Xenopus tropicalis: one gene and its partners. The protein of the gene in region 1 binds, or shares a complex with, the protein of each later gene. Links are inferred from orthologs where the notes say so. Each region holds a gene or a part of one and is shown in the gene's direction. Other genes may lie near its edges.

The links.
Region 2: drc1 (region 1) and ccdc153 share a complex: the UniProt entries of both Homo sapiens proteins name them as parts of the nexin-dynein regulatory complex. The link is inferred for Xenopus tropicalis from reciprocal best matches to the Homo sapiens genes DRC1 and DRC12.
Region 3: drc1 (region 1) and iqcg share a complex: the UniProt entries of both Homo sapiens proteins name them as parts of the nexin-dynein regulatory complex. The link is inferred for Xenopus tropicalis from reciprocal best matches to the Homo sapiens genes DRC1 and DRC9.

The regions. Positions count from the first base shown.
Region 1 is NC_030681.2:159,590,763-159,593,072, forward strand, and holds part of drc1 (dynein regulatory complex protein 1), read left to right. Parts: intron 1-1,154; coding exon 1,155-1,288; intron 1,289-2,310. UniProt on the Homo sapiens protein: Component of the nexin-dynein regulatory complex (N-DRC) a key regulator of ciliary/flagellar motility which maintains the alignment and integrity of the distal axoneme and regulates microtubule sliding in motile axonemes.
Region 2 is NC_030683.2:80,326,086-80,330,505, forward strand, and holds the start of ccdc153 (coiled-coil domain-containing protein 153), read left to right. Parts: upstream 1-1,608; 5' UTR 1,609-1,797; intron 1,798-1,847; exon of another isoform or gene 1,848-2,023; intron 2,024-4,420. UniProt on the Homo sapiens protein: Component of the nexin-dynein regulatory complex (N-DRC), a key regulator of ciliary/flagellar motility which maintains the alignment and integrity of the distal axoneme and regulates microtubule sliding in motile axonemes.
Region 3 is NC_030681.2:100,505,717-100,510,141, reverse strand, and holds the start of iqcg (dynein regulatory complex protein 9), read left to right. Parts: upstream 1-1,613; 5' UTR 1,614-1,751; intron 1,752-3,157; 5' UTR 3,158-3,179; coding exon 3,180-3,293; intron 3,294-3,842; coding exon 3,843-4,090; intron 4,091-4,425. Other genes in the region: rpl35a (60S ribosomal protein L35a), read right to left, coding at 161-171. UniProt on the Homo sapiens protein: Component of the nexin-dynein regulatory complex (N-DRC), a key regulator of ciliary/flagellar motility which maintains the alignment and integrity of the distal axoneme and regulates microtubule sliding in motile axonemes.

The DNA.
Region 1 (2,310 bases):
CCCTAATAATTCCCATAACCTCCAATAATAATTCCCATAACCTCCCCTAATAATTCCCATAACCTCCCATAATAATTCCCATAACCTCCAATAATAATTCCCATAACCTCCCCTAATAATTCCCATAACCTCCCATAATAATTCCCATAACCTCCAATAATAATTCCCATAACCTCCCTAATAATTCCCATAACCTCCAATAATAATTCCCATAACCTCCCCTAATAATTCCCATAACCTCCAATAATAATTCCCATAACCTCCCTAATAATTCCCATAACCTCCCCTAATAATTCCCATAACCTCAATAATAATTCCCATAACCTCCCCTAATAATTCCCATAACCTCCCATAATAATTCCATAACCTCCAATAATAATTCCCATAACCTCCCCTAATAATTCCCATAACCTCCAATAATAATTCCCATAACCTCCCCTAATAATTCCCATAACCTCCCCTAATAATTCCCATAACCTCCCCTAATAATTCCCATAACCTCCCATAATAATTCCCATAACCTCCCCTAATAATTCCCAAAACCTCCCCTAATAATTCCCATAACCTCCCCTAATAATTCCCATAACCTCCCATAATAATTCCCATAACCTCCCCTAATAATTCCCAAAACCTCCCATAATAATTCCCATAACCTCCCATAATAATTCCCATAACCTCCCCTAATAATTCCCATAACCTCCCCTAATAATTCCCATAACCTCCCATAATAATTCCCATAACCTCCCCTAATAATTCCCATAACCTCCCCTAATAATTCCCATAACCTCCCATAATAATTCCCATAACCTCCCCTAATAATTCCCAAAACCTCCCATAATAATTCCCATAACCTCCCATAATAATTCCCATAACCTCCCCTAATAATTCCCATAACCTCCCCTAATAATTCCCATAACCTCCCATAATAATTCCCATAACCTCCCCTAATAATTCCCAAAACCTCCCATAATAATTCCCATAACCTCCCCTAATAATTCCCATAACCTCCCAGTTGCCGTTGCCCTTACACATTTAGGTTTTACCCTGTAGCAAGTTACAGCATTGGGAATATACTGCCTGGCTGAATGTTACACGTGGCACTTTGGGTTTAGTTGCCCTTTAAGCCAGCTCACTGCTCTGTGCTTTGGTTTGAGGATGAAGATGGAGATGCGGGAGAATCCAACGCTGACAGCAGCGCAGGGGGGAGCCATGGACCCCAAGGGCTTATCCATCCCAATGAGGTTCTGGGGGCCATCAAGGCTTTTGTTATGGAGTTCCAGAAACCAAGGTTTGTGCAGCGGGTACCCCTGGCATTATCCTTACATGCACTATTCCCCTGTACTAAGCACAATTCAGCAGGAACAGCCCCTAAGTTTGCTCATAGCCTGTACAGAGAGATACCATAAAACTATGGCACATAGGGATTCCCCTGTACTAAGCACAATTCAGCAGGAACAGCCCCCTAAGTTTGCTCATAGCCTGTACAGAGAGATCCCATAAAACTATGGCACATAGGGATTCCCCTGTACTAAGCACAATTCAGCAGGAACAGCCCCCTAAGTTTGCTCATAGCCTGTACAGAGAGATACCATAAAACTATGGTACATAGGGATTCCCCTGTACTAAGCACAATTCAGCAGGAACAGCCCCCTAAGTTTGCTCATAGCCTGTACAGAGAGATCCCATAAAACTATGGCACATAGGGATTCCCCTGTACTAAGCACAATTCAGCAGGAACAGCCCCCTAAGTTTGCTCATAGCCTGTACAGAGAGATACCATAAAACTATGGCACATAGGGATTCCCCTGTACTAAGCACAATTCAGCAGGAACAGCCCCCTAAGTTTGCTCATAGCCTGTACAGAGAGATACCATAAAACTATGGCACATAGGGATTCCCCTGTACTAAGCACAATTCAGCAGGAACAGCCCCCTAAGTTTGCTCATAGCCTGTACAGAGAGATACCATAAAACTATGGCACACAGGGATTCCCCTGTACTAAGAACAATTCAGCAGGAACAGCCCCCTAAGTTTGCCCATAGCCTGTACAGAGAGATACCATAAAACTATGGCACATAGGGATTCCCCTGTACTAAGCACAATTCAGCAGGAACAGCCCCCTAAGTTTGCTCATAGCCTGTACAGAGAGATACCATAAAACTATGGCACATAGGGATTCCCCTGTACTAAGAACAATTCAGCAGGAACAGCCCCCTAAGTTTGCCCATAGCCTGTACAGAGAGATACCATAAAACTATGGCACATAGGGATTCCCCTGTACTAAGCACAATTCAGCAGGAACAGCCGCCA
Region 2 (4,420 bases), on another chromosome or scaffold:
ATCAGGCGCTGCTGTGCCTTCTTATACAATTGTGGTAGGTGCATTGCAATTGTGTCAAGAGAATCACCCCTTTGCAACTGCAGTGACGCCAGAATTACAGGAAAAAATGCTGCATTGTTGGAAAAAAACATGGCAGTTGCATTGCCTACACCTAAGGGCTCATGTACATCCACAAGTGCAGTGAGTCAAGTGCAATTTTAAACAGTTCTCTTTGCTGGCTTCATTTCTGGTGTTCTGCATTGTAAGTAAAGTACACCGCGACTTTTGTCTAAAATTGTTTTTTTCACACTGCACGTCAGTGTGGTTTACAGTTGTTCCCTGGTGAGAAGCAGAGAAACCAATAACACGTAATGGTTCTCAGTACAACCAATGTTTCTGTACAAAAAGATATGAAGCAATTTTATAATATATATGGCATTAGTAAGCCAAAATAGTATAATAAATGTGCTGCCTTATTTCCAAGTGTGCACACAGTTTAGGACTCCAAAACTTTGGTAAGTTTACCTTTTCTCATTAATGAATGACTTATTGGGCCCTCTACACTACTGGGCCCCCCTGCAACCACAGCATCTGCTTCCTCAGTAGTTACACCTGTTTTTTTGCACACATGTAAGCAGTCTTATACTGAAGGTTCTGTAAAATTCATTGTAAGGTTGAAGACACTCAGAGCGCCTAGTATCAGCTACTTGACATGGCTACAGGAATAACCAATACTGATCATTTACTGATAATTGTCTCTAAGGGACACATTTACTAATCCACAAATCCGAATCCCGAATGGGAAAAAATCGAATTGGAAATGAAAATCTTGCAACTTTTTCATCGCCATCGCGTTTTTTTTTCGTATTTTGCGTGATTTTTTCGTCGCCGTCACGGCTATCATATTTTGTGCGACTTTTTAGTCGCCATCGCGGTTTTTTTGTATTGAGCAATACGTATTGAACCAATCCGATTTTTTCGCGACGGCGACGAAATAGTCACGACAATTTGTGAAAAAGTTGTGACGGCGACGAAAAAGTCTTGACAATTCGCAGAAAATACCGATCATTACGGAAAAACGCATTCGGACGTTCGTGGATTAGTAAATGTGCCCCTAAGTGTGGTTTAGCAGAGGCAATTCTCAGTATTGTCTTTGGCAGGGTATTTTCTGGGGTTTAGTAGCCGTCACAAGTAGCTGCTACTAAATAGCTCCACGTGTCTTTACCCAGAGAGGATCTAAACCCAAAAACATTTAGCATAATTTAAGAAGATTTAATTTAAAGCAATTTTACATTATACATTACATTTCAAATGTTCAGCGGTCTTAGGGCTCTGGCACATGGGGAGATTAGTCGCCCTAATCTCCCCGTGTGCCAGAACCCTTAAAGTTATTTGTAAATGTCATTGCTACTGAAAATGATATTTCTACTATAAATACCTTATACACACATAATGGAAAGCTGGGAGTGTAGGATAGCATAGAGATGTTTTTTATTTCATTATACAAAAAACATTTTACGGGTATAGATTACCTTTAAGTTCAGACTCTGAATCTTTAATATGTTTTGTTTTGTTCTTTTTATTAAGGTGATTTGCATTAACAAATTTCTTGTTTTTGTCTCTTCTCAGAGATTTACCGGTACCTTGTTGTTATACATCTTTTGTTACCATTACAGAAACCTAGCAACCTTTTGTATACAATTCTCTCTGAATCGGCTGGGCAAGGTTTGTGGGCAGGATCTTAAAGTGTCTTCCTGCTGGGTAAGCATTTCTCAGTGAATATCACTTTGTTGTTCTGCTGAACAGGATTCATTGCAGGTAAGGGCCACTTGCTGATATTTGCTGTTTAAAATACAGTATGTTATAGAGTTGCGTATTTGGAAAGGCAGCATGTGGAAAAGGAAGATGGCATCGTTATCATGGGCAGCCCCTGCAGTTGCTATGTCTCCACTATCCTCAGGCTCTTCAGTGTTGCTCTAGGCCTGACTGGATACCTGCATCTAATGAGAGACAGAATCAGAAAATAATCAGTTTGCAACGAAAGGTAATCAGATATAGGATATCTTATGATAAGCATACAGAGCAGGGTTGAATGGCTCCTAACTATGCAATGCTGCAAAACTACTTTGCAATGGATTGAAATGTAAGAGGTCATTTACAACCTTAAGTTCAGCGTGCAGTTTTTGATGCAAATCACCATGTTTTTTAATTCAAACTTAATTGTGGGCACACAGCAACTTGCACATGCTGTGTCAAAACAAACAGAATTGAGCAGTGCAGCTAACATTTTTTAAGAGTTAGGATTGCATCACTTCCGAGAGTCAGCATTAAAATTACGTTAGTGTTTAGTTCTTTTGTCACAATTCTATTGCACTTTGGTTCATCACAATAAGCAGGATGAGGAATGACACAGTGGTGCTTGGCGCAACTATACAGAAGTTGAGGAGGTGTTACTTTTAGGACTTCTTTACATGTTACATCAACACACAAAACTAATTTCTAGGGATGCACCAAATCCAGGATTCAGTTAGGGATTCAGCCAAGATTCGGCCAAATCCACACTCCTGGCTGAACCGAATCCAAATGTTTTCTAATATAAACCTGCCGTGGTAAATCACAAGCTGAAGAGCATGCTGTTCTTTGAGTGCCAACTATTATACTGGCATATACATTTTTGTTCCTAGAGCATTGCACTTTTGTTCATAAATGAGCACTAGATTGGTGTCCAAACTATTTTTATTAATACAATGCAACATTTTTCACTGTCTGATTTTTACTATAATATTGCTTAACACACACACACACATATATATAGTGAATAATGTACCCTCTTTTTTAAAATATAAGGATAGCCATTCCACAGAGGAGTTTCGTGACCATGAGTTCTTATATCCTCTTATTTTACAACAGTGGATACATTTAGTTATTATAAATACACAAGTTTCAGTGAGCCATGTGTCAGAAATTACATCATTAAGCATCGTTATAACTGATGCCATCACTAAGCATAATTTTTAAGGATATAATTATATGATATTCATGGCACTTCTGTGTTATACATATAGGGGCTGATTTACTAAGACACGATTTCGAATCCAAATTGGAAAAATTCCGATTGGAAATGAACATTTTTTTTGCGACTTTTTCGGTAATTTTGTGATTTTTTCGTATTTTTTTCGATTTTTTCAGCGTCTTTACGATTTTTGCGTAAAAACGCGAGTTTTTCGTAGCCATTACGAAAGTTGCGCAAAGTCGCGCCTTTTTCGTAGCGTTAAAACTTAAAAGGCGCGACGTTTCGCGCAAGTTTTAACGCTACGAAAAAATCGCGACTTTGTGCAACTTTCGTAATGGCTAAGAAAAACTCGCGTTTTTACGAAAAAATCGTAAAATACGAAAAAATCGCAAAATTACCGATCATTACGAAAAAAACGCAATCGGACGCATTCGGCCCGTTCGTGGGTTAGTAAATGTGCCCCATAGTATATATAAACACAAACATATATATATATAGTGTACTTATGTCTTGCACAAAAAAATCAATTATAATTATTATAGTCCAGTGAAATTCTTTGCATTTAAGTATTGTTGTGCTGTAGGGTTGCCACCAGCCCTGTATTTCAAGGATTCAGATTCAGTTAAAAACCGGGTACAAATCCTCTAAACTGCATCCAGTGGACACAAGTTTCCATGGGTCCTTTTGCCATAAGGCAAGGTGAGAAGTCTCTCCTTTTCCAGGGGTGGCAAAAAATACTCCTGTAATTTTACATGGAGAATTCCCAATAGCTTTCTCCATTTACATGCAACTGCAATCTCCGCTGACCAATACCCAGTCTGAGAGAAGAAAATGTATGTACAGGTGATGGAAACATAAGGGGTTGGAAGCATCAGATCTGCCTTCTTGGACAGCAAAGAGCCTTGATGTGCACCCGCAGATTTCCCAGTGTGTGGAGCTCAAGGCAATATTCTCCAATATTCTGTGTGATCTGTTGTACTAATTTACTGGACAGTTTGTAAACATTAATCTAGTCATCTAAATTATAAATGATTTAGCAATAATATGGAACAAGTAGCACATCTGTCATCATCTTGAATTATATTTAGTACCATGGCCTTAAGCTATTTCAGTTAATTTTGTTAAGGTGGTCATACATGTTAAGATTTGTTTGCTATTTATATAGTCTTCATTCATAGGTGTATAGTTATGTTAGGTGGGGTCCTTCCCTACTAGTCTCACTAGTGTTCCTGTGCTAAGGGTAAGAGAACATGGTTTTACAATAAAATAAGGCAGTGAAGAACTCACATATAATGAGGGGCCTTAGTGTGACAAGTAAACTTAAATATTTTGGGGGATGTGTGGTGCTAATTTTTCAATATTAATTTAATATTTTACATAGGCCATAATTTGTGCATTGGCAATTATTAGTATGTATTAGTTTGCAGG
Region 3 (4,425 bases), about 59 Mb from region 1:
TTGAAGAAAATAAAAAGTAGAACCAAAAGGTAGGCTTGTCACTTTCATGTCACAATAACAACTAAGATTAGCTGAATCGCAGAAGTAAAGCAGCCTAAATAAGTGACATGTAAATAATTGCTTTACTACTATGATACAGAATTAGAAATATTGCTCATACCTTCCAGACATGTTGCTCTCCTAATGTCCAGATGCAGGCAGGACTGTAAAAAAAAAAAAAAAAAAAAAAAAAAAGACGTAGAAATATTTTTGTTAAACTGCAAGCTTTATGTGCTTTAATTATATTGCGTTTGATTTAATTACTTTCCCTGAGAAATGTCACAGGAAATAGATACAAACAGTGGCAAATGGAACCTCACAAATACCATAACACTATCTAAAAACATTTGGTGATGCATACACAGTTATGCATACACAGTTATGCAGACAGTTTCATTTGCAATCACATGTAACACTATGTCATTAAGAGTATTAATGATTCACTCCAAGTATTGGAGACCTTATTCTGGGTTAACATTTAAAGAGAAAGAGGTGGATCTTTTTCTCCAAGAGGCACGCCACAATCTTACCTGCATTTCCCAGGAGCCCTTATACCTATAGTCTTACCTGTGCACAATGCAGTAAAAAGTACCTATACTGTGCCTGTGCAAGGGATCCAGGTAAATACAGATAGATGGTGGTGTGACAGTTAGAAAGATGCCCACGGCCAACATATTGCTTCCCCTAGTAAATAAGACTACTTGTCCTTTTAAAGAAAATCTAGGACAAGATCAATATTATCTTTATGACACCTCTCTTAAATGAACAATAAAAACATCTTTCCAAATATGTCATATGAAACAAACATTTTCCCTTAACATGTGTGACTTTGCAATAGCAAAAAGCATGATCAGGAAGCACATCTCCAGCAGGCACACACCCGAGTGACCCCACAATTACCCGCTTACAAAGGCAGGACTTACGATCCTAAATTGGCTTTCCAGCAGCAGCTGACTTCTATAATAGAACTATACGAATAGGTGGCGGCAGAAAACCTATAGACAAGTACAAGCCAAGCTGCCCAGCACTTCAATTAGCCAAGCTTATTCCCCGTTTGTATTAAGGGACAACTACTACACAAAACTCGGCCTCTCAGCGAAGGGAAACTTCCTTAGGTGTCTGGCACAACTGTCGCCAAAAGAACAACTCGAAAACAAGTTTGCTGCAGTTGTACAGCTGCGAAAATAAGCCGGCAATGGGAAAATCCTATCAGCCTAGCTCCAATGCAATCCTCTCCGTATCCCAAACATCCCGTCTCCCACAGGCTCAAAGCCAGGCCCGGCAAATAACGCTCAAGTAGACGTCCCCGTTCATGTCGGTATTTCTCTCATACGACCCATTTAACTGTCCATTTTTCAGTATTAATATTTGACTATACACTAAGCTCACCCGCACTGGTAACCAAGATGGAGGAAAAGGAAGGGGGAGCGCTTTGCATGACGGGAAATTATGAACGTAGCATGCGTGAGGTGTCCATGTGACTGCCTAATGTAAAAGGGTAAAAAAAAAAAATAAATTAAACCCAATTTCAGGGCAATGAACTATGATCTCTAAGAGAATTGATTTTAAATCTAAAATCGTGAGATAAATGCAATAAATGTTAAAAATGATATATAACCGGCGGTACGAAGACGAATAGGACGCAAGGACTCTCGGGCAGGGTACGATCCCCATGGCAACTGTATGTAAACATTGGGTGTTCTGACGCACAGGTAACTTGCAAATCAGTTTTCGCAAAATCTGTATTGGCATTATATATTTTACATTGTACGTGAATGTGCATATAGCTACATAGTTGGGGTAAAAAGGGATGCAGTGTGTGTTTGGTAGACGTTACCATACCTGAGTAGTAGTAATACAGGGACTTAAGAAACATACACTGGCTAAGATACAGGCTCCCTGTTCTATAGTAAATGCTTTTTATTTGGCTGGATATAATACTTTAATGGATAAAACATAAAATTCTAATTGCATTATCCTTTAGTTGTATTACAAGAAAAGTAAGCAGTTTGTTATGTAGGGATGCCCCTCTTCCAATACTACCAGTGTCCACTCTCAGCTGCCCTTCCAATCCATACACCAACCCATTTGCATTCACATTTGGGCAAGAAAAAGTCACCCAGTTGTCCGTTATAAACACATTTGTGTCTTTGAAAACATCTGAATTGATCCATCTTATATACTTCCTTATGAAATTGCATTCAGTAGGATGGTGCAATGGAATGTTCTAGGTTTCCCTGGTCAGTTCTTAATCTGGAAATGCTATTGTTAGTACTGTGTTTGGAGTTTCCTTATTGGCTCAAAGGGGACCTGCCACCCAGACATAAAGTCAAAGTAATTTTTAAATTTAACATGAAACCCAAATTTTTTTAATGAAAACATCCATACCTGTTATAATGGTATTTCAAATCTTCAAATTTGTCTCTGTGCATATGAGTTGTTAGCAGTGGTTTGGGCAGCACACTAGTCATTAAATGCATAGTTTGCGAAGAACATAGACACACATATAATCAGGGCACATGCTCTTCGCGAACTATACTAATTGTATACATACAAGTGCACCCAGGTGTTAAACTATAGTGCGAGGTTAACTTTATCAATAGTCATTAAATGCAAGCATGAGCACCTAAAACAAATTTGGGCTCATGGAGACTTCTGGGAAATGTAGTATGGGCTCTGCACATACAGGTTGCTATGGCAACAGAGCGCTATTAAAGAGGAATTGCCTCTTTGTCAATCTCCTTTGTGCTTTTGCTGTTTACTATGCCCCATGGTTGATAATAGCATTATAATTTTTTTTACCTTAGCACATTCTAATTATTACAAGCTTTTTGGTGCCTTTTTGGGCTTATTAGGGTGGGGAAGGTAGATTTTCACTGTTTGTGTGTGGATACAGAAATCCTTAAGAAAGGTTACACTGTAGTGACCAAAACACTGAACTTTGCACATGATTTTGTAAATATATTTGATTTATTTGCTAAAGATCCATGCTTGCAGAACTTTTTGGGGCTTAGTGTTTGCTTATCTTGCATTGTTTGGTAGGCACCTTTTAAAAAGTGTTTTATCCAATTTGCAGCAAACTAAAGGCTTTGCATTCTGACACATTCATACCTTGCAGGTCAAGTAAAACTCCTTGAAAGATGACATTGTCTATGCTGGATGCACTTCGGGCGTGCACTGTACTGGAGGACAGCCTAGATCAACTCTCCGTTCTGGGAAACATCATGCCTGTATCTTACCATGGCCGCAGTGATGTTAGTGACCATAAACATTTGGCTGTGATTGGGTATTTTGTGGAATCTAACTTTTGATGTTGAATATCCTAAAAAGTCCTGCAAATGTAACCTGGTTATAAAGTTAGCATATATTATCTAGTGCAGGGATCCCCAACCAGTGGCTCGTAAGCCACATGTTTTTCACCAACCTGTTGGATGTTGCTCCCAGTGGCATCAAAGCAGGTGCTTATTTTTAAATTCTTGGCTTGGAGGAAAGTTTTGGAAGCATTGTAGGCTGCCAGACCACATAGGAGCTACCAGTAGCCAATGACAGCCCAAAATAGACACCCCCTGGACCTTTTTGCGTGCTTGTGTTGCTCTCCAACTTTTGATTTTTGCATGTGGCTCATGGGTGGAAAAAGGTTGGGGATCCCTGATCTAGTGCAATACAAGATGCTCTGGGAACAAATATTTTCTGAGCAAACATTTATATTAAAGCAGCGTCGTTCGGTCTGGAATATTTGTAGTGACTGTTTTTGCCTTTCTTTATAATTAGTCGGCTTTCTAATGTCTTGTGTGTAATTTTAGATAGTTGGAAATGAAATTGGAAAGATTCTAAAAACACAGAGGCAGCTGGAAGGAAAATTTGAAGACCTCATGGGGAAACGAGCAGAAGTTCGAACAACCTCTTTCCCTCTGTCCAGTAAGATGCTGGATCTGACAAAGCAGGTGGAAGAAACTAGCGGAAATCTAAAATTGACCAATGAGCAGTTTATTCGAGTAGTGAAACAGAGTCCTCTAACTGCAGATAACCTCAGGAAGGTCCAAGCCGACAGGTGAGACAGATGCTTCTTTTTGTTTGTAAGCGTCATGGCAGACGGGGAGATTAGTCACTGCGCGACAAATCTCCCTTGTCGCGGGCAGCTAATCTCCCCGAAATGCCATCCCATTGGCTAGATTGTAAATCGCCGGTGGGATGGCATACACAATTGTATTAAAGGGGAAGGTCGATACATTGATAATCTAAGCTGTAGTTTAATAAAGTCTGAGGCTGATGCCACACGTGGTGTAGGGCTGATTTTTTCAGCCCTACGCCTGCTACTTGTGCCTGCACCCGAATGAATGGAATACGCTCAGGGGCAGGCACATGTAGCCGATATTCGCATGAAAA